3 linked regions of the Notamacropus eugenii genome follow. The protein of the gene in region 1 purifies or fractionates together with the protein of each later gene. This does not show direct contact. Links are inferred from orthologs where the notes say so. Each region holds a gene or a part of one and is shown on either strand. Other genes may lie near its edges.

Region 1 (8,092 bases):
GACTGAAAGGTCTCAATGCAACAACAATAACATATAACCATTGTCCCCTTGTCCTAGAACTGGTCGCAGCTGACCAGCTCCCCAGTCTTGGACTCCCCTCCATTTGCCTCTTTTGTTCCTGTTCACATGCTGGTGAATGGAGGAAAGCAAGATGCCTCTACTACAAACTTATCTAATGTTAATGGGCCACAGGGCAAACATTCTATTCTTTTCCAATTGATTTACTATCTTCCTCTCCCAGAGGTTCCAAAAATCCCCCCTCTCCTCAGTCCTCCCACCCTTCCCTTCCCTCACCCTTTCAGCTGAGAATCTTGCTTTCTACTTCCCTGATTTGATGGAGACCAATGACTTCACAAGTGCCTTATTTTGACTTGGTCATGAATTGGATTAAGTCATCAGCCTCACTCTCCACCAGAAGTTGTCAAAGTCTAGTGGCAAGACCAAAGTGGCAATGCCCCAGGATGCAATGGGTGACCTTGGCCTTTCTAAATTAAGGTCTTAAAGTTGGGGACAGGTAAGGACAGCTCGCCCTTTCTCTTTTTTATCATACCTTATTCCAACAGTTTTCCTCACTACCTCCTTTACTCTGGTTACCAATAAAGAGGTGCCAGGGCCTCTTATTATATCCCCTCCCAACCTCTCCAGCATATTCATCCCTCTCTCACCCCCAGTTTCTCATTAATCTTCAGTCCTCTCTCTCTACTGGCCCCTTAGCTTCTGCCTTCAAATATGATCACAAATTCTTCACTTGATCCCTACCACCTTCCTTGAGAAAGCTGTCTACACTCACTGCCTTCTCCACTTCCTCTCTCCTCATTCTCTTCTAAATTCTGCAATGACTTCCGACTTCTTTCAACTGAAACTGCCCTCTCCATAGTTACCAAAGATTTCCTCATTGCCCAATCCAATGACTTTTTCTCTATCCTGACTCTTTGCAGCCTCTGACACTCTCAATCACCTATATTGTCTTTCTGACAACTCTTAACTGGATGTCCTGTAGACCTCCTAAACATGACCCATCCCTAACAGCACTCATCATACTTTTGCCTCAAACCCTGCCAGCCTCCCTATTACTATTGAGGGCACTGTCATCCTCCCAGCCCCTGAGAGTCATACTGGACTTTTCACTTGTACTTAACCCATATGTCCCAGTAGCTGCCAAATAGTGATACTTCTACTATTACAACATCTTTCCTATACATCCCTTTCTTTTCACTCTCTCAGTCATCAGCTCCTCATCACCTGCTCTGGGACTATTGATACACCTTATAACCTGGACTCCTGGACCCAAGTCACCCCCGACTCCAGTCCCCTTTGACTCAGCCATCAAAATGATTTTCTCTGGCTTCAAGTCTCAACTCACCTTCTGCCAGAAGCCTTCTCCAACTCCTCTTAATTCTAGTGCCTTTTCTCTTTGAATCATTTTCTGTTTATCCTGTATATATCTCACTTTGCACATGTTTGTCTGCATATCATCTCCCCAATCAGACAGCCCTGTAGGGAAGAAACAACTTTTGCCTTTTTTAGTATCTCTAGTGCTTAGCCACGTTCTGGCCATGTCCATCCCTTCTGGTCAATGAGCTCCAGTAGTTCCCTGTATGTCCAGGATCAATCACCAACCCCTCTGCCTTCAAGTGAAAGCTTTTCACAGATTGGTCCTTTCCTCCCTTTCCAGTCTCCTAGTACCTTCCTCCTTTCCACATACTCTATGATTCAGCAACATGTTCTCTGACTATGATGCTCCATTTCCTGACTGTGTCCCTTTGCAGTGGCTATCTCCCATACTCTGCCCCTCTCATTTCTTTGTCTTAGCTTCACTGGCTTCCTTCAGACAGTGTACATCCTACCTTCTGAGGAAGATCTTTCTTGGTTTCCATAGTGCCTTGCCCCCAGAACACCTTTCTTCTACTCTGTGTATTTATCATGGATATACCTAGTTATTTACATTAGAATATAATCTCCAGGAGGACCAGCTTGACTTTTGCCTTTATTTGAACCCCCAGGCTTAGCACCATTGCCCAGTACATAGCAGGTACTTAATCATTGCTTGTTGACTCACTAATGGCTCAATGTCAGCTTGGATGGAGGTATGTAGCATCTTGGACTTTTCAAGCTGAAGTCCCAGAGGCAACTCAAATTCAGCATATCCAAAACAAAGCCCATTGTCTCTCTCCCTTCCTCAAACCCTCCCCTCTTCCAGACTTACCTATTATTGTCTCAGGTACCACCATCCTCCCAGTCACTAGATTCACCGCTTTAGGAATATCCTCCACTCCTCCCTCTCCTTCTCTCACGCCCACCACATAATGGCCAGATGTTGGTGCTTCTCTCTCTGGTATATATGTAATGGTTAGACAGTTGGATCTGTCTGTTGATCTGTGACATATGTATTGCTTATGGTCAGACAGTTGGAAGCCCTGTCTGTTGGTCTTTATATTTCTCAGCTTGTATTTTCTCTGTTGGTATATATGATTAAAGAAGATCATTGAGCCCTCAAAGATTGCTTTTAGAAAAGCTGATCTAAGAACCTGTGCTAGCAGGCCATCCTGGAGGTGTCAGGGTGCTGGCTGTTACAATAAGTAAGATTTGAATTCAGGAAAAGGAGTCTTTCCGATGCAATGCCTAGCTCTCTCTATCCTAGCTGCCCTGTTAGTATAGGGTTGGATATGGCAATCACAAACGGCTCCAGATTCTCTGCCAAGAAAACCCCAACTGGAGTCATGAAGAATTGAACATGACTGAAAGGACTGAACTACAAGCAGCACATTAGTACATTCCCTCCACCAAGGCAAGTCTTGGAGAGCTGCTTAGAGATTGGAAGTCACTGGCCCAGGGTCACACAGTCATTAGTACCAGAAGTGGGATATAAACCCCAGGTTTTTCTGACTCCAAGGCCAGCTCTCTATCTATAAGATGTTGCCTCTGAGTAATAATTAGCACTTCAGTGGTGCTTTAATGATTACAAATGCTTTATGTAGGCTCCCTCATTTGATCAGTAATCAAGCAATAAAGATTTATTAAGCACCTACTATGTGCCAGGCACTGTGCTAAGTTCTGGTGGTACAAAAAGAGGCAAAAGACAGTGCCTGCCCTCAAGGAGTTTACAATCTAGTGGGGGAGCCAATATGCAAATGAATATATGCAAAATAATGCAAACCATATGCAAATAGAAAAGACTTTGTGATCCTTACAACCACCCTGTGAGGCCGCTGCTATTATTATGCCCATTTTACTAAGGAGAGATCTGAGATATAGAGAGGTCATCCAGTTAGAAAATGCTCAAGCAGGATTTGAACTCAAGCTGCCCAGAATCTGAGTTCCAGTTCTAGGCATCAGTTAGACTAGTTGGTATCTGCTGTTAACCTGAAAACTTGGTTAGAGAAAAGGCAACAGGCTAAATGCATACATTTTATGATTTAATTAATTAATCAATTCCCCATAAAGATAATGGTTATATAGTGTTATGGAGCCAGGATCAGAACTGGCTCCCTCAGTACAGAAGTTGACTGTCTTAAGTACCTTTTACCATGAGAAAGCAGCTCTCTTAGATAAACACATTGTAAATTTGGTAAGACAATTAACAAAATAGTGTCAATTGGGTTTTATGATCCCAAGTGTGGGAATCTCCTTTCTGTAGCATGTCTCTGTGACTTAAGATAAGGAGAAAGTCTCACCACTGTGATGACAGATATCCAGGCCTTTGAAGTTGTGGTATCTTAACAGAGCTGACAAAGCTGAAGTTACAACCCAAGATATCTGGGTTTTTCCTTATCGCTAAGATGCCAGAAGAAGGGTCTGGTAAGGGAAGTCCCATTTGTTTGCCTGACATCAAAAGGTGTCCTCTAAGTTAAACAAAGGAGACTATTAGGTCCAGGCTCTTCTTAATTCAAACTTTGGCCCTTATTAAAGTCCAAAATTTATATTAAATATTATCACTGCTAACCTCTTCTAGCTCTAAGATTTGGTGGTGGTACAGGGTGGCAATGAAACAAGCATTTATTTAGCAACTACTGTGAATCAAGCAAGCAATTATTAAGTGCCCACTTAAGGTTCTTGACAAGGATGGATTTGGGGGAAGGGATAAATCAGAGGGAGGTTTGTTAAGAAGCTCCTGTATTAACCCAGGCCTAACTCGGGAAGCTTTGGAGAGGCCTGAGATGTTTTGATGATTGCTTTGATTTTCATAGCACCTTAAGGATTACAAGGAAGGGGTATTCGTACCTGACAGAAGCAAGCACTGATTAAATGCCTGCAAGGTGCCAAGCACTTTACAAGTACTATCTGATTTGAGTGTCACTGCAGCTGTGGGAAATAGGGGCTGTAATCTCTATTTTTTTCAGTTGAGGAAACAGACAAACAAATAAAGTGACTTGCACTCTATCGACTGCTCTGTTTAGTAAGTGCTTGATAAATGCTTTTCATCATTCATTTGCAGTACTAGGTGTCACAGCAGGTTACACTTCTGATGGGGCCAACTGAAAGGCCCAGTTTGGGGGGACAGGGAATAGAGCTGGCCCGTGGGGACCTGCTCTCCAGCACTGTGCTCAAGGTGGCTAACCCTAGAGTTTGAGATGCTTTGTTTATAAATCATCTGATGTTAATCTTCTAGATTATGAAACTCTCCAGCATATTTTTGTGGTTGAGTCATTTCCATTGCGTTCGACTCTCCATGATTCCATTTGGGGTTTTCTTGGCAAAGATACTGGAGTGGTTCGCCATTTCCTTTTCCAGCTCATTTTACAGATGAGGAAACTGAGGCAAAGAGGGTGAAGTGACTTGCCCAGGGTCACACAGCTAGTAAGTGTCTGAGGTCATATTTGAATTCAGCAAGATGAGTCTTCCTGACTCTAGGCCTGGCTCTCTATACACTTAAGAAAGTGCTGTTGGCATACAGTAGGTGCTCAGAATGTAAACTCTTGTTTTTCACTTTGTCTTTGTTTCCCTATTTAACTCTGCTTTGTCTTGTACATGGTAGTAGTTACTTTATAAAAATGTCTGTTGGAATGGACCTTGATCTTAAAATTTTGTATATATCTACATAGTAGATCCTAGGTCTAGTGCTGGAACGGTCATCAGGGGTCCTCCAGTCCAGTGCTGGAATTTTACAGATGGAGAAACTGAGGCCCAGAGAGGGTAAGTGTCTCAGGATCACGCATAGAACCTTAGATGGACCTCAGAGACCCTCTAGACCAACGCCCCCATTTCCCACACGGCTTCCTGTAGTAAAGTGGGAGCTGCTGGAGGGCAGGACCTGATTGCTTCTGAAAGCAACCCCCCACGATCGCCCCGATGCGAAAGGGGGGAGGTGGAGCGGAGCTGTCCAGTCTTCCGACTGTCCTGCAGAGGGGGCGCGCAGCCTGCGGAGGCGTCCAAGGCCAGGGCACTGCAGCGCAGGGAAGGGGAAGGGGGAGGGGGAGCCGTCCCAAACAGGGGCGGGAGGGGGCCGCCTCGAAGGGGAGGTAACCACACTTCGAGCACCTCCCCCCTCTCCCCGCCCCGGGAGCGTCTGCTGCTGCCCTTGTCTCTGCAGCCGCGGTTAGAGCCCAAGGTAATGTAATCTCAGCCCTGCTCCGCTGGGCCGGCGTGGGCAGCCGGATCAGCTATGGGGAACCTGGGGGCATCCGAACCTGGCTAAGGGAGGGGCGGGAAGGCGGGATATGGAGGGACAAGGAATTAGGGAGCCCTTATCTTGGCATGGTGGGGGTGGGGAGGGGGCGTCCAAGCCTGGCCAAGGGAGGGACGAGAGGGATGAAATGGGGAACCCTCATCTGGACAGAGTTGGGTGGGGGGGCTGCAGCAGCAGGGCGGCGCCTGCCCAGCCCTGTAACCCGAGCTGCTCGCTGGTTAAAAATACCGCACCCCGCTTCCCGCTCCCTGGTCAGCTGGCAATACCCTTCAGCCCCAAGTCCTGCCTCTGCCCCAGCGGCTCAGCCTATTCCCCTTTCCCCAGTCCCAACCTTGTCTTCTCCCTCTGCTGGCCCCAAGCCCCAGCCTGGGGAGGGCCCCCAAGAGACTGCGTCTGGTGCCTGACCTCAGCACCAGCCGTCAGAGAAAACCCGAGTCAGCTGGGGAGGAGGCAGTGGGAGGAGAGAGGCAGTGGGAGGGGACCAGTAAGGCTCCGAGGCTTTGGGGTAGGCGGGCAGGGCGGGGACCAGATTCTTCCTTGTTGGGCCCTACCAGTGAACAAACCGAGCCGGAGCTGAGACCCTTCCGGAGTGGCCAGGGAAGGCAGCCCCGACGGACCGAAGGACGGACGGACGGATTGACGGGCACCGATCAGACCCAGGCCGAGGTAAGAGGGCTTCAGGCTTCCCTGAGCCACCCGAATTCAGGCACAGGGGTTGGGATCGAGTTTTCGAGACAGGTGTCCCAGGTCACCCTCTGGGACTTCGGATTGGCTTTGGGACCCAGGCATCCCCATCTTCTCAGTTGGGGGGGGGGGTGGTGGAGTCAGTGCAGCCAGTTAGAGTTTCCCCTCCTTTGGTGGGGCTCTCTGAGCAGAGGGAAGAGCTTGGGTGTGGTCCAGATTCCAGTCCTGGGAACCTGGAGTCCTCTGATGCCCGGCCTTAAGGCCAGGTCTCAGGCCAGAGTGCTGTAGACCAGCTGCAAAGGGAAAAGGGACAATGTTGTCTGCAGGCAGCTCGCTGGATTGGGGGTGATGAGGAAGTGGAAGTAGGGCCTCCAGAGAAGCTTTCATCTGTCCCCCACTCCCACTATTCCAATCTTGTCTAATATCCCATTCCACCCAGCCCATCAGGTCACTATTAGAAGCCTGAGACTCGGTTCTAAGAGAAGGGGAGGAAAAAAAATCCCACATAATATGGGAGATGGCACAGAGTTAAATTTGAAGTCAGAAGATCTGGGTTCAAATTCTACCCCTGCTCTATAATTATGTCTTGTGTGACACTGGGCAAGTGCTTTCCTTCTCTGGGTCTCCCTCTTGATGCTCTTGTCTGACTGGGGGGTGGGGCGGGGTACGACCTCTGGATAAGGGAGGGGACTTGAGGTTGGGGCAGGACACTAAGCTTCAGAAAATAATGGGGAGGGAGGTGACTCAGGGGCCAGACCTTCCCCCCAAGCCCCAGTTCTGAGAAGGGACATAGTTGGGCTTGCTGTTGGGGCTCTAGGCTCTGGGGGAGAGGTGGCTAAAATAGAGTTCAGATGCTGGGGTTTGGAGTGGGAGGGGTTGGATATCTCAAGCATGGGGCTGACACCCAGGAGCCCCAGGCTTGCTGCTTGAAAAGATGGCTGTCCTGAGGGTGGTGGTCTGGGGTGCCAAGCAGGGAGTGGGCAATGGAATAAGAGGAGCTCTGAATTTGGATTAAGAAGACTTGGCTTCTACTCCTTCTCCTTGTGTGACCTCAGCAAAGTCCTTTTTCTTCTGTGGCTCTGTCTCCTGTGAATTACGGTGCTCGGTGCTCGGAGGGGCCGATCTCTCTAATTCTCTCCTAGTCCTCAATCCTCTCATGGGGCTGGAGTGAAGGGAGTGAGGAGTTGGACATCTTGAGATGGGGAGATATGTGAGGGAGGTAGGGTTTGAGGGACAAGGATGACAAAATTCTGGAGCGAATCTTGAAGATGGGGCTGGACAGGTGAGCTGGGAACTAGGATCCCTGGGTTCTGAAAAGGAACTAGGGCTGGGGATGGAAAGCACCTTTGAGTTTTGACTGTTAAGGGTTAAACATCTTGATGATAGGGAGAGGAGGTGAGTTGAGGCCTTCTAGGACCCATGAGTTCTGAGAAGGCAGCCCAGAGATTGGGAGTGGGAGACTGAGGCTGGAGTTCTGAAGGAGTAGTGGGGGTGGGTGGGAGATGGGGTTAGGGGAGGCTCAAAACTCCAGGCTCAAAACTCTGAGAGGGGAGCAGGCCTGGACTCTTGTTCCTCCTTCTCTTGCCTCCCCAGGATGACAGAAGAGATCATCACCCCTGTATACTGTACGGGGGTGTCTGCCCAACTGCAGAAGCAGCGGGCCAAGGAGCTAGGCCTGGGCTGCCATGAGAAAGCCATTAAGTACCAGGGCCAGGACTATGAGCAGCTACGGGCCCAGTGCCTGCGGTCTGGGGTCCTTTTTGAGGATGATACCTTCCCCCC
Region 2 (6,960 bases), on another chromosome or scaffold:
ATTTAGGTCTAGCTATTCAATCAGCTCTGGATCCATCTAGCCCACATATCTCAATCACTTGCACAAGAATTGCATGAGGCACTTTATCAAATGCTTGGGTATAATCTAGGTAAAATGTATCTACCACATTTCCCTTTAACTACCAGGTGAGTAGACCTGTCACTAAAGGAAATAATGTTAGTGTTGCCTAACTTATTTGTAACAAAGGCATGCCAACTCTTTGTGATTACCAATGGGAATAACCATAGCACCTTATCTCCCAGGGTTGTTGTGAAGATCAAGTGAAAAGACATTTGTGAAAAATTTAGCACACTACCCGGCACTTAGTAAACACTATTATATTTTATATAATTTCACCAGAAATTGAAGTCAAGCTCACTGGCTTTGGAGGCTTCTAGTCTCTTCCATTAAAATTAAATTCAATTAAAAAAGTAAAATTGGGACATTTGCCCTTCTTCAATCCTGTGGTACCTCTCCCACTGTCCATGATGCTTTAAATATCAATGACAACGGTTCCACAGTCATATACCACCAATATTAGAAGTACCTAAATATATATACAGTAGTTCTTCTTTGCCAAGTGACTTGAATATATCAAGAGAAGCTAGGTGATTTCCCTACCATCTCCATATTTATCTTGGGTAGTTACTCTCTACTACCTCTTGTGCTCTACCCTTTACAATCCAAAGACGATTTCTCTTGGCCAGAAAAACAAAATAAAAATGGAAGAGCTCTGCACGAAACTGTGCTGACTGGGCCCATTACACATTTATATTATCAAATCTGGAGTTTACACTTCAGCAAGGAAAACATGTAACTCTTTCCTAACTCATGTTTCCTCATCTTCATGATTGTCCTCCCCTGAGTACATTCCAATTTTACTCAGTTCTTCTAAAAGTGGCTCCCAGAGATGAATAAAGTGCTTTAGATGTGGTTTGACCAGGGCAGAATGTAGCAAGATTATCCCTTTCCTTGTTTTGGATAGTGTGTGTGTGTGTGTGTGTGTGTGTGCGCATATGTGTGCATGCACACATATACACATGTATATATATATGTATATGTATATATATAAACATACACATACATACATTGTAGATAGCCAAATTATAAGATAGGAGCATCACTAAGAGAACTTAGAAAATATCACACATGAATATATTCTAGAACATCTGCTCTATTGAGTCCTTGCTGCTCCATCATGTCCACAGACCTCACTGAGTTCCTTCTCCTTGTTATTTCTATGCATTCTTTGTAATATGCAGAATATTACAACTGGTCCCCTCAAAGCAATAAACTAGCAGTCTTCTTTATGTCTGCTTTTCTTTAATATCTGTCAGATATTACGGAGTCAGCTTTAGAGCTAGAAAGAACTTTAGAGATCATCTAAAGATCATTTCACTCATTTTACAGGTGAGGAAACTGAGGCCCCAGGAAATTAAATAACTCACCTAAGGTATACAGACATCAGTGACAGAGCAGGCCAGATTTGAACCCAATTTTAGTGTTTTTTTTCTATTGCACTATTCTGCATTTTGAGAGTATGTTGTGCAGTTCTACCTGCTCTGTCTTCTACCTTTGTGCCTCATTGTTGTTTCTTTCCCCTAAGGGACATGCCTCCTACTCCTATGTCCCCTTGCCCGTTGAATTTGGTTAGTTCATAAATGTGTATGAACTCATGCAAATACACACACACACACACACACACACACACAATTTGTCTTATATTTGTCATAAGAAGGGGAATACATTTTGTAATCCCCTTTATCATCATTTATTGGCTACTATGAAAAGGTCTTAGCCTAAAAGGCCAAGGTCTCCCATTGCATCCTGGGCCATCTTTGGTCATCCTGATGAATATCTGGTCACTGGATCCAGATGGCTCAGGAGGAGAAAGTGAGGCTGGTGACCTTGCACAAGCCTCCCTCACTCAAAACAAAGTCAAGTGCAAGTCATCATTTTTCTGATATCATGGTCCTCTTCAAAAATGAAGGATGAACACAACCTGTGAGTAGGCCGAGCTGCCTAAAACGGGGACCCAGCTATCTGGGTAACCCCTTTCCTTCCCTTCCTTTACCTTCCTTCTTGTCTCCCCTAAAGCCTTGGACCTTATGTACTCTGAAGCCCATGGATTTAACAGTGAAGGGTCCCTGCCCAACCTCCACTCAATGGCTGACTTAGAGTGCAAGTCAATAGTAACAGTTTCTCTTCAAAACAACCACCCTGAGACTCCTGCCCCTCCCAGAGTGATTTATCTATTTATTTTCTTATTTCTATTAAAGGGGCCATCCTCCTGGCTACTTTTTAAAGACACCTATTCACTGAATGGGCATTACCTCACTTTAAGTGAGTACCTGGAAAGGCCTTAGCCTAAAAGACCAAGGTCTCCCATTGCATCCTGGGCCGTCTCCAGTCATCCAGATGGCTCAGGAGGAGAAAATGAGGCTGGTGACCTTGCATAGCCCTCCATCACTCAAAACAAAGTCAAGTGCAAGTCATCATCTGTCCGATGTCATGGTCCTCTTTGAAAACAAAGGATAAACAACTAACCAAGCTCTCTCACTCTCCACAGCAGTTGTTCCAAACCTTGTCTCTCCTTAAGCCTATGAACATGATCCTTCCCACCACCCTTTCAGTCAAGGACCTCACACCTCAAACTTTGAGATTCCCCCAAGCTGACATCATTTCAGCAGAGCTGTTCCTTCTCCTATCTTCCTCGTTTCATTACTCAGGCATCTTCCTCTACTATCCTTTCCTTCACTCTGGTTTCAGATCAAGAGATGGCCCCTTAAATTTCCCAAGACAAATCCTTCCACATGTATCCTTGCTCCTTTTCCCAACTTTTCCAACGAACAGCCCCTATCATCCCCATTCTCTCCAATCTTCAATCTTTCCCAATTTACTGACTCCCTGATAACTAAATATATGTGCCTATGTTTCTCTTATCCTTAAAACCCCTTCACTTGATCTGACCATCTCCTCTAGCCATCATGCTATATGTCTTCCTCACTTCATCTCTCAGATCCTTGAAAGAGCTATCTGTAACTAGTCTCTCCCTTTCCTCTCCTCTGACTCTCTTTTAAGCCCTCTGCAACCTAGCTTCCAACCTCAATTCAAACTGCTCCTTCCAAAATTACCACTGATTTCTTACTTGCCATATCTAATGGTCTCATCTCAAGTCCATTCATCTTAACCTCTCTGCACCATTTGACAAATCTTACTTCTCAGACATTATCTTCTTGATCAGCTGTTGGTTTCCTATATCAGTTTTCACTCTTTAGATTCTGACTTTTCAGAATCAATCCCAGCAATCTTGTCCCTCCATTTCAAAGATGAGATGCACACACGACTACCTATGGCTTTTAGGGGATGCTAACTTTAAGGGTAGTGAATGAGATGCTTTTTGATGAAATATCCTGCTTTAATTTCTCACAGAGAATACTAATCCATATCTGCACGCTAGAATGAAGGATCCAAGGGATTTTCTGAATCGCTAAAATAAAAGAAGCCAGAACTCAGTTCAGTCCAACTTCAACATGAAAGCAGGCTTCACTTTTATCTTCCCTCCCACAGACCACAATATAGAAGAGGAAGGGGAAACTCTGATTTTGAAAACAAATAAATCACAAAAATCCTCAGGTTTGCCTAGCAGGTCTGAACATGAAACAGTGCCCACCTCGGGCTGGTATATCTCCAAAAGAGACTTTTCTTGCTGTTCCTGTTATTTTCACTTTCAACCCCCAAACCAGGAAGTAAGTGTTGTTTAAAACCATCGAAATAAGCCAAGCAATCAAATCAGAACCAACCAAGATTAGGTTTGAGGCTGAAGTTTAAGACCCCTTCTTAATGGACTGGAACCAGCTCCCTTTTTTCCCATCGAAAGTCATCGCAATTTGCTTAGTTCTTGATCCATCGATTTGCCCAAACTTCCCAAAGACGGAGGAGGAGGGAGGGATCCACACAGTCCGATTTGCTTTTGTGTTGTTTTAACTCTTCAATCAGAGTTCCAACCCGTCATCAGAGTCCAAATGACAACTCTTTCCAGAAGGCCAAGCCAAGGTGGAATCCTAGAAAAGGTGCTAATTCTTGGAATGCCTAAGGAAGACCAGAGAATAGGAGGGCCACGCCCCGGTCCCGCTCCCTGCACAGTTACGAGATCGGTCCAGGCAAGTTGAAGAAAGAAACCCTAAGAGGCCGGCCTCCAGCCCTGCTGCCCCTCCTCTCCAAAAGTACAAAGAGCACTGGGCAGAAGAGGTTTGGGGGAGGGAGACAATTGGGTGAAGGCAGAAGAAGGGAGTGGATCAGCAGCATCGGACACCCTAGAAAGGACAGTGGCGGGGGTAGCTGCAGAAACTAGCGGGTGCAGGAAGGGGAGGGACTTGCTGGGGGTGAGGCCCCAGATTTGGCTCCAGGGCTCGATCGGAAAAGCTGCTTCACTGTTGCTTGTACTGCCCCTTTCCTCCCTTCTCTCTCTCCCCCTTCCTGCCCTCCAGTCACCGCTGCACCCTCTCTGAGATCTGCAGCTGTCACCATGTCTCAGCCGGGGAAAGGCAAGAGGCCCGCAGCCTCCCCCCGGCCCAAGCGGGCTGCCGCTGCCCGGGCAGCCGAAGGGGTAAGTGGCTTCTTAGACGTCCCACCCAGGAGGGGTGGGCAAGGTGGTAGAGAGTGGGGAGGGGGTCAACCACAGCCCTACAACCTCCGGACTCCTCCCTCGGCTTTGCCCAATCCGGCTTGCGGCCAGGACACCCTCTTGGGCAAAGGGTGGGGGTGCAGGAGGATGGGGACCGGGCGTGGCTCGAGTTGGAAGCAGATTCCTGGGACCCGACGGGACTGCGGGAGCCCGCTGGGCGTGGCGCGTGCCAGCCCAGGGAACTGAGAGGGTGGCTGGCGGAGGAAGCAGCTGAAAGTTAGCCACAGAGAAAAGGGCACCGTGGGCCAGGGGATAAAGGCGAAGTCGGCTTCCCTGGAGATGCCCAGAATGCTGTAACCGAGCCATTTCTGCCCTGTTCCATGCCTGTCACACCGCCCTTCCCCCCCCAAAATCCGAAGCTTCAGGGCGTGGCTGTCCCGGGAACAACACATCCTCCGGTCTCTCCAGTGTGGCCGAATCTGGCTGACGGGGCGGGGCCCACGGTGGACCCCGCCCAGTGCCTTGCCCTCCCACCTGGCAGCTGCTAGAAGAGCCAGGAGTGAAGTGCCAGCTGAAGCCAGGCGCAGGTGAAGACCTTAAGCCGGCGCGCCTTCACGCACACGCAGCTCCTCACTTAAGCCTGTCCTTCGCCCGGTTCAGGGGATTTAGCTGGGCTTGTCATGGCTTTTGCAAGCTGGTGGTACAAGACGGTAAATATGACATGGGGCTTTTGTCTTGGAGGGACAGGAAAGACGGGTGTGTTCACTTTGCTCTCCCAGACCTGTAGGGGAGACATTGACTATTTGGTGATCAGGAAGGGGTGGGGAGAGGATGCCACTGCTTCTCGGGACCTAAGGTTAAGCTTCAGAAAAGACTCACCCACTTGTGGTATTTGTGTGTGTGTATGTGTGTACATCTGGCTTGTGTGGCTGCTGCCTGCCCTCCAGACAGTCTGAATGAACCAGGCTGTAGAAGTGGAAGAATTCCCCCCTACAAACCTGGGAATTCCTGGTTTGAGAGAAGGTGGAGATTCACCTGATCTCAGATACAGGACAATGAAAACAAAACAAAACAAAAAAAACCAACTCTAGGTACTTTTGATTTAAGCGAAGGCGGGCATCCAGAAATCCAGGACCACCTCTTTTTATTTTATTTTACTTTTTAAGCCAGTAAATCAGGAGACCTCCAGGCAGTAGCACAAAATGTGAAATGGTTTGTGTGCAGGAAGGGATTGAAGGTGTTCCATTTCTTTAGTACTTCGTGAATATCTTTCCAGCTAATGAGCAAAATAATCAAGTTGATGCTTGCAAAGTTGTGGAACCAGGAACTGTGATTTAATACCGTATTGTGGGTTTTTTAAAATGTTGGCGCAAATGGGTTAGCTTGATTCAAGTTTTGTTGACAGCTTTGCTTCATGATAGACAGTTCAAAAAACTGGTTATGTGTGTACCTTATGGTTTTTCATGGTGAATACTTCCTATTCCATGTTTGCCAGTATAATATCCTCTTAAATATACTCAGTAGAAATTTGCTTTGGATAAAACTTCTCAATTCTTTTTCTAAGGCTCCGTTTAAAATGTTGAATAAATGATGTATAGCTAAGCATACCATAATTTAGACATGATAAAGCCAAAGTTAATATCATACTTTGCTTTTTGCTGAGTTATGATTTCCCAGGTAAATTATGCTGGAGTAATAAAATGAAACTGACTTAAATTTCTCAAATCTTTTTATTTTTTTTTTTAAGTTTAGTACTCCATCTAATCTCTTTGTAAAACCTATTATTGTATTCAATTTGGGGACTGTTCTGTATATTTTACCCTACTTGGAATATCTCTGAATTAGCTGTAGTAGCTAGAGTACTCTGCTGAAAAACCATTTGTTTCTTCCCCCTTGACACTTATTAGAGATTATTTCAAACACTTTTAGGTGAGTCCTTTCGTAGGAGAACATTGTTTAATAAAGTTCGGGGAAAAAATGTGAGTAGCCCAACTTTACATATCAGAATAAGTAAGATAAACTCATAGAATATGTAATCTAAGGAGTGTTTGTGTGTAGGAAGTGCTAGCTAGAAGAAATCAAGTGAAATTGTTTAAGATAAAATATTGGATCTCAAATTTCTACTAACTATAATGGCTAATATCAACAAAATTAGCAGTATATCAACCTTATATTTTGAAAAACTCTAATTTGGGGGATAGGGGACTGTTGGAAATGCTAACATTAAATTATATTTTCTTTGTAGTGATAATGCATAGACTAGTTTAAATTTAGTTTGTACCTATAATCATCCTCCAAAGTCATGAATTGCATTGATTATAGCAAGTTAATTA
Region 3 (7,656 bases), on another chromosome or scaffold:
TTTCTCACTGGTGGGGAAAATCTCTTCCACCAATATAAGTGACTGTCTTAGCGCTTCCGTGGCCTGTGGCCTGTGGCCTGCCTTAGGTGAGCTTGGTGAGAAAAGATCAGAGGCAGTATTTGAACACTTGGATCCTCCTGCCTCCCAGGCAGGTCCTCTAACCATCCCCCAAGGTGGTCTGCTGGTCCTTTGATACCACGCTTACTCCTCCCTTACCCCGCAGACCCCCGTGACCTCCTTGGTCCTCCTGGGTCATGTCCAGATCCACCTCCAACATCTGACTTACAAGTACACCTAAGGCCCCCTGTGACTTACAGTTGAGTGGGGGCAGGGCCTGGCACAGTGCTTGGCACTCAGATAACATTTAATAAATGTTTTTCTTCTATTTCTTCCTTCCATCTCAATAAATCCCAAATCAAGCTTTTCCTTTCCCCTAAAATGGCTCCCGGTTCTGAACCCCCTCTTAGGGCCAGGGCTACTTATCATCCTTCTTTTAATCTACAGCTCAAAGCTCAAAATTATCCCCAGACAGTGTGTCTCTCCTCTTCCTCCACCCACCCACTTCCACTGTGGACAGAAGTATCTCTTACCCATACATCTGGGCATTCAATTAAACATCTATTCTGGGCAAAACATATCAATATGGAAAGAAATAGCCCCTGTCCCCAACAAGTCACATTTTCCTGCTGGGTTTAGATAAAGCCTGCCCTCATCCAAAATTGCAACAGGGACCAAAGGATGCAAAGAGACGGCTGGGCAGACCCAAGAGGAGGACCAGGATTCTCTGAAACCCAGGGGAGAGCTTGCTCCATCACCAGTATCCTGTCTTCCCAGTCTTAGAAAGCCCTTCCCTTGGACTAGTGTTCACCCAGATAGGGTAACCCAGCATTCTCTGCCTTTTGACTCGGTATCTCCCCGGCTGCATTTCTGTCCTCCATCCCTACTGCCCACTAGCAGCTGACCCCCAAGACCCCCTTCTTCTCCCTGGCTCCTCCCTAAATGACCACTCTGACTTGCTCTGCCCTGGGGACTACAGCCTTGGGAAGGTACAGAGTACCTTTTCAGGTACAGATGGTACCCCCTGGTCCTCCCCCCAAGTCTTCTGCCCCAGGCAGACCCGGTTCAGTAGGGACTGCCCAAAAGGAAACGGATAAAACCGAATGGGGACAGGGCAAGATGCTTCCTGGATTTACTCCCCAGGCTCAAAAACCATCATCAGCTCCCAGCTGCCTCCAAATCCTCACCTTCCCAGACTTGACTCAAGACTCCTTTCCACCAGCTCTATTCTCCAGCCATGACTGTTTTTTGCCCCCTCCCCCTCCTGGACTCCTGAGCTCTGACCCCATCTGGGGACCGCCCCCAGCCCCAGCTGCTCAGCCCCTACCCACCCTCTGTTATGCAAGTTCGGAGTCTCCAATTACAGAACCATAGATATGTGGCTGGAATGGGCCTAGGAGATCACCTAGTCCGGGCCCCTTTTACAGAAAAGGAAATTAAGGCCTGGAGAAGAGACAAGACGCCGCAAATCACACAAATGAAATTTCAGAGGCAGAGCGGGAACCCTGTTCCTCTGAACCAAGCTGCTTCCCAAAGAGAGAATGCTCTTTAGACCCCACAAGACCCCCTGGAATGTGTCGGGCTGACCCTCGGTGTCTCAGGCTCCTACCAGACTCTAGCTGAGTTCCCATTTTATCTAAGCTGTGTATCTTTCCAGGCTCCCCGCAGGAGGGGTGATTTAGTCCACCAGCCCCGAGTCCTGTCCATGCCCCGTCCCCACCTCCTGCGACACTGCGCGATCCTGGGTTCCCTCTGATTGATGCAGTGTGACTCTGTGAGCCCTCAGTTTCCTCAACTGTAAAATGAGTGATGAAGAAGTGGGCTAGTGAGGCCCCTTCCAGAGATCCCAACACACCGATAAGTGTCAGGTTCTTTTCAACATTAAGACCATGGAGTCCCACCCCCCCCTCATTAATGGGAGGTCGTGGCTCTGCTGAGCTGGGCTGTGACTGGAGCCCACAAACCCGGGGATCCTCACAAGGTATACGGAGCCAGGTGGGGCGACCCCTCCTCTGCCACATACCTGCCATGACTCTACTGCCGCTGGCTAAGATGGCTCATGCTTATTCACCACCGCGCTCCGGCCCAGTCTCCAGACCTCTCACGGAACAGTGGACCCCACTACATGTCCCGGGGTTCCCCATGTTTGAGGGTCCCCGTATCGCAGGTCCCCTCATGTCTCGGGCTCCTCATATCCCAGCCCCACCGTGTCTCAGGGCTCCCCACATCCCAGGACCTCCCCATGTCCGAGGCCCCCAGTGTTCCAGGGCCCCCCAGGCTGAGCTCCCCCAGCCCCCGCTCACCTGATGGCGCTGATGACACCGCCTAGGAACCCCATGGCACCCCCAGCTCCTCCGCCGCCGCCACCGCCGCCGCCACCGCCTCCGCTAAGTAGCCCCCCGATGACATTGCCGATGCCTCCAGCACCGCCGCCGCCGCCGCTGAGCAGCCCCCCGAGAGCTCTGCCTGCGCCCCCGCCGCCGCCGCCCTTCCCGCCCAGGAATGAATTAACCAGGAACATGTCTCCGGGACCTGGGGGCCAGAGTCAGGACGCCGGCCGCGGTCAGCTATGGGGCGGGGGGTCAGGGGGAGTCGGGGGCCCCGCTCCTGATGGTCCCGAGGAGGGTGGGTACTGGGGCACGGTTTGGGGATACTGAGATTCAGGGGAGGCCGGGGCTGGCTTCCGGGAGTCAAGGCTAGGGGTCCTGGGTTGTTAGGGTGCTCCGCGGGTGTGGGGGATCCTTAGGGTCTCTTGCTCGTGCCCAAGTAGGGGGGTCAGGAAGCACGAGGGGAGGGGGCACTGAAGCCGGGGTTCAGGGGGACTCAAGGCCAGGCTGGGGGAGACTCGAGCGGGGTTGGGGAGCCCGGACTTGGGGCGGGGGGCGCTCTCACCCTGATCTCGGCCTCAGTTTCCCCAGCCGCGGTCTGGCCTCCTACCCTCCTTGCTCGACTCCTCTCGGTCCGGCTACAGGACGGTCGGGCGGGGCCGGGGTGACTCAGGGGTGGCCCCGCCCGAGGCGATGTGCCTTCCCCGGGCGTCCGCGTGGTCCTAAAGCCCGTCTCGCAGACTGTCCGGTGCCGCCCCTCCCCTTCCCGCTGCATAACGGGACCCGGGCGCCCCGCCCACCAGCTGCTCCCTGGAACCGGGCCCAGCCCTCCCGCCCTGCGGGGTCCCGGAGAGACGCGGGGCGAGGGCGTGCCTGCGCCTTTAAGAGTCCCATCCCCGCCTCCCCCCAGCCAGTGACTCGGAAAACGCTCTCGGGCCCCACGCGGGGCGGAACACGCGAGGGGGTGGGGGACTCCTGGGTCCCCGGAGGTGCGGCCGGGGGAGGGCATAGCCGCTGGACCGGCCCAGTCTAGCTGAGGGAGGAGGGCAGAGGAAACGGCCCCCCTCGGGGCGTGGGTGATTCCTCGGTCCCCGTTCTGTCCCCGCCCCCGGAAGTCGGGGCCTGGTTCATTCCTCAGTCCCCGGGACCGGCCCGAGACGCGGAAGTGGGGACCCCCCCCCCCGGGGCCGTGTCCTGGTCGGAGGCCAGTGATGACGGTAATGCCCCCTCCTGAAGGGGGCAATGGGAGCAGGGGCCTCCCTACTCCGGGCTCGCCCCGCTCTCCTCACGACTCCTCCAGTCCTGCCCGTCCCATTGCGTGAGACCACCGCGGTCCACAGCCCCGGGCTCCCCGCTGCCCCTGGGCCACGTCCAAGGCTGGTTTCACCTCCGAAGCCCTGGATCCCCCGGCCCCCACCTCCCTGTCCATCCTCTCTGGACGCTTGTGCCCCCCGAGGTCCGGCCACCCCCTGAGGTGCCTCACTCAGGACCCATGCCTTTCCCCTTGTCCCCCATCAGAACGTAGACTTGTGCGGAGGGATCGATCGTTCGCAATGGAACGGCAACAAGCATTTGTGAAGCGTCTGCTACATTCCAAGCCCCGCTGCCAAGGCTGACAAACAGGATCCTTGGGTTTCCCCGGTATCGTCCCAGGACAAAGCCTGGCTCTTAGCAGAGACTGATAAAGCCTGAGCCATCTACAATGCTGCGAAGTCCATCGACGTCTGAAAGCGTAACCTCGGAAAAGACTCTCTTAAAAACTAGTGGGAAAACTGAAGTCTGGCAGAAATGAGGTTTAGACCAACATGACAGACCATACTCCACAATAAATTCAAAATGAACATGTGACCGGAATGTAAACGCCCAAAGGAGTGGAGCTAGACCTGCCATTTCCTTGAAGTAGGGAGCTCCCAGATGAAAGCATTCCCACCACTAGTTCTCCAGCGAACCCTTTGCAATTTAGTGCCTAGAGGCACCGAGAGGCTGGAGAGCTCTGGAACACAGGTCTTGACGACTCCTGAACATCCCATCTCCACTATGCCACAGATGATGGCTCTGGAGAAGTGAGGCTGGTGATCTGCACAGCCCTTCCTCGCTCAGAACAAAGATAAGTGCAAGTCACATCACCATTTCTCTGATGGCATGGTCTGCTTCAGCAACGAAGCACAGACACAATCCTATGAGCAGACCCAGCTGGCTGAATGGGGACCCAGCTAGCTGGGTAACTCAACCCCTCCTCTCCTGTCTGCCTTCCCCTCCCCCCTTTCTTCTCTTCTCCAAAGGAAGGTAAATTTGGATAGCCAAAAGATGCCCAGGTGACTTGGGTTTTACTTACTGGCTAGCCTCCCTTCCCTACCCTTCTCAGAACCTTGAGCCTAGAACCTTGAGCCTACTGCACTCCGTAACTCAGACACCATGGGGCTCCTGCCCCTGCCTAAAGGCTCTCTTCTGGACCTTCCGGGCTTCAGAGTGATTATCAACGTTAAGTGTTGCTGTTTCCCTCCCAGTCTGATGTCTTCCTCTTCCTTGCCTCATTAAAGGGAACAGGCCCTGATTAGTTTTACCTCACCCTAACTTAGTACCTGCACAGGTCAGGCCAAGGTCTCCCAGTGCATCCTGGGCCATCTCCAGTCATCCTGATGAATATCCGGTCACTGGACCCAGATGGCTCTGGAGAAGTGAGGCTGGTGACCTGCACAGCCCTCCCTCACTCAAAACAAAGTCAAGTGCAAGTCAGGTCATCATTTCTCTGATGACATGGTAGTCTTCGGCAATGAAGGAGGAACAATGCCAGTTGACTGATTAGGGTGAGATTAAAAGAATTTTAAAAAAACTAGAAGCTCATCACATGCCTTGCACAGATATGGATAAAGGGTGGGCTCTTTCTTTTAGCATTCCTCCTCCTCCCTGCAAGCATCTCACATAACAAATGGTTTTTAAAGCAAAAAAAGAAAAAGCACAGTCATGGAATATATTTTAACCATCAGGGCGCAGAGCTGTGGTCCTCGCAGCTCCACAAAGGGCAGGGGTGCGTCGGCAGCATCCTTAACTGTTCTGGAGTCATGCTTGAGCTTTATGTAACTTGGAGGAGGTAACGTCTTTACCAAAGGATAAGGGAAATGACAAAAGAGTTAATTTTGCTTACTTGAAATTAAAAAGTTTTGCATGAACAAAATTAATGCAAAGAGAGAAAGCAGTCGACTATGGAGAAAAAAAAAATCTGCGTCTGCTATCTCTGATGTGGGTTTCATATCCACACTATGTAAAAACCTAACAGAAACATCAGAGGCCAAAAGTAATTCCAACAGAGATGTGGGCAAGCAATCTGGACATTTCTCAGAAGAACTGTCAATTACTAACGATATAAAAGAATGCTCCAAATTACTAAGAATTAGAAAAATGCCAATCAAAATAATGCCAAGGCTTCCCTTTAAACTTTAGCAAACTGATAAGAATGACAAAAGGAAAGCATGGTCTCACTTGCACTGTTTTAAACCTTTTATTTTAACATGGGGGTGGGAGGGGAGAAAAACCACTCACCTCACCATCGTGGAGACCTCCCAGTAAGGCAGTTAGAACCCTTTAGTCACTTTAAGGGCCTGATGGGACCTGCCCAAGGTCACCAAGCCCTAACGTATAAGAGGTAGGGCTTGAGTCTCAAGACTTCCTGCCTACAAACTGAGCTACCTCTATCTCAACTGTTGTTGTTTAGTTGGGTCCCACTCTTCATCAGAAACGGAGGCAACCAGGGTGAAGTGACTTGCCCAGGCTCACACAGCTAAGTGTCTGAGGTGGGATTTGAACTCAGAGAGAAGAGTCTTCCAGGCCCAGCACTATGGCACCCTCTAGCTGCTGTATTTCAGCAGCTTTCTATTAAGATCTCCCCAGTATAAAATGATACCAAGTTTGGCCCAAAAGAAGAGATGCGAGCATATACCTCCCCCCCTTCTCTACACAGCTAGGGGATTATGGGTGTTGAACGCTGCAGATGCTGATGGGTTAACTTGTTTTCATTTTTATTCTGCTGTAGGAAAGGCCTTCAGGAGAGGCAGATGATGGAAGAACAAGAAATCCACACTAAAGATGAGCCACCTGCCTCCAGTCTCTCTCCTCTTCAAAATAGCTTCCAAACAAACCCCTAAAAAGTTGTTCTGAAAGCCCAGATAGTCAGCAGGTCAGAGGCCACTTCGGGGCTGACCAGATGTGAGGAAAGTGAAGGCCAGCCTCCCTGTCAGACTCACTGCTGCTCCTCCAGTTGTTCAGGGCCCCCTTACCCCAAGCTCCCCTCCCTGATCACCCACAATCTTCAGCAATGAAATGCCCTCTCCCTAGCCCTCAAGAACCCAGGCTGCCTCCAAGGGATTCAGAGGCATTTAATTCACTTGTCTCACAACCTCACAAGAGCCAAGGGGAAAATAAGATAAAAAATACAACTCAAAATAGGGAAGGCAAGAGAGAATACACCACAGACACGAAACAGGAGGGAGGGGCCCGGGCTGGAGGGTGGGGAAGAGAAAGGGAGGCTGCATCCAAGGGGACAACCCCCCCAGTAGTGTGTAACCCCCCACCCCCACCAGGGGGTCACATCTCATCATCGTCCAGTCCATAATCCTCCTCTGGGAAGTCTCCTACGGTCACCGTGTGTGGCTTGACAAAGGCACCATACTTGTCCTGGCACTCAAAGTAGCGTTTGCCGTTCACACTGCAGATGACAGAGACTAAAAGAGGTCACAGGGCTACCCGGACACATTCACTCACATTCATACCCACAATCACACCCACTAACAAAAACACACACCCACACTCACACACACAAACACACTCTCCTACACACACTCACAGAGAGAGTCCCAGGGTGTCTCGCCTCACCTGCCATCATGCTTCCCCAGCGGTTCATCATAGCGGATGCCAACCCAGTAGCCAGGCTTGAAATCCGTGAGTCCTGCCCACAAGAAGCAGCTCATTCAGGACCCAGCTAAGGGCAGGGCCACAACAGCAGCTCCTGTCTCTCTAGCCTGGGGGACTGACCCATTCTGCAGAGAAGCTGGGGCTGTCACTTCCTGCCCTCCCCTCCTCTGGCTCCTCAATAAGCTCTCAACTATCACACAGATGCCAGACTGTGTCCCTGCCCTCTGTATTCATCTCCAGGGGTTCTCAATCACAATTTATCACTGCAGCCCCTGCACCACCCACCTCTGTGACTCGAACAAATTGTCCATGCAGCTGACCAGGCAGCATCTCCCCTTTCTCTTCGATTATGAACAGTTCCAGG

Evidence for each region.
Region 2: the proteins of CAPN1 (region 1) and CAST purify together in Homo sapiens (co-immunoprecipitation; 4 studies listed by BioGRID and IntAct, counting the BioPlex papers as one, with this or other methods). This does not show direct contact. The link is inferred for Notamacropus eugenii from reciprocal best matches to the Homo sapiens genes CAPN1 and CAST.
Region 3: the proteins of CAPN1 (region 1) and CAPNS1 purify together in Homo sapiens (co-immunoprecipitation; 4 studies listed by BioGRID and IntAct, counting the BioPlex papers as one, with this or other methods). This does not show direct contact. The link is inferred for Notamacropus eugenii from reciprocal best matches to the Homo sapiens genes CAPN1 and CAPNS1.

Annotation. Positions count from the first base shown.
Region 1 is NC_092873.1:17,891,177-17,899,268, forward strand, and holds the start of CAPN1 (calpain-1 catalytic subunit), read left to right. Parts: upstream 1-5,042; 5' UTR 5,043-5,133; intron 5,134-5,444; exon of another isoform or gene 5,445-5,548; intron 5,549-6,180; 5' UTR 6,181-6,292; intron 6,293-7,903; 5' UTR 7,904-7,904; coding exon 7,905-8,092. UniProt on the Homo sapiens protein: Calcium-regulated non-lysosomal thiol-protease which catalyzes limited proteolysis of substrates involved in cytoskeletal remodeling and signal transduction. Proteolytically cleaves CTBP1 at 'Asn-375', 'Gly-387' and 'His-409'.
Region 2 is NC_092875.1:442,073,014-442,079,973, reverse strand, and holds the start of CAST (calpastatin), read left to right. Parts: upstream 1-3,892; 5' UTR 3,893-4,528; coding exon 4,529-4,609; intron 4,610-5,154; exon of another isoform or gene 5,155-5,307; coding exon of another isoform or gene 5,308-5,337; intron 5,338-6,960.
Region 3 is NC_092876.1:33,187,603-33,195,258, reverse strand, and holds the start of CAPNS1 (calpain small subunit 1), read right to left. Parts: upstream 3,080-7,656; 5' UTR 2,950-3,079; intron 2,590-2,949; 5' UTR 2,579-2,589; coding exon 2,361-2,578; intron 1,587-2,360; exon of another isoform or gene 1,389-1,586; intron 1-1,388. Other genes in the region: TBCB (tubulin-folding cofactor B), read right to left, coding at 6,966-7,086, 7,254-7,326. UniProt on the Homo sapiens protein: Regulatory subunit of the calcium-regulated non-lysosomal thiol-protease which catalyzes limited proteolysis of substrates involved in cytoskeletal remodeling and signal transduction. Essential for embryonic development.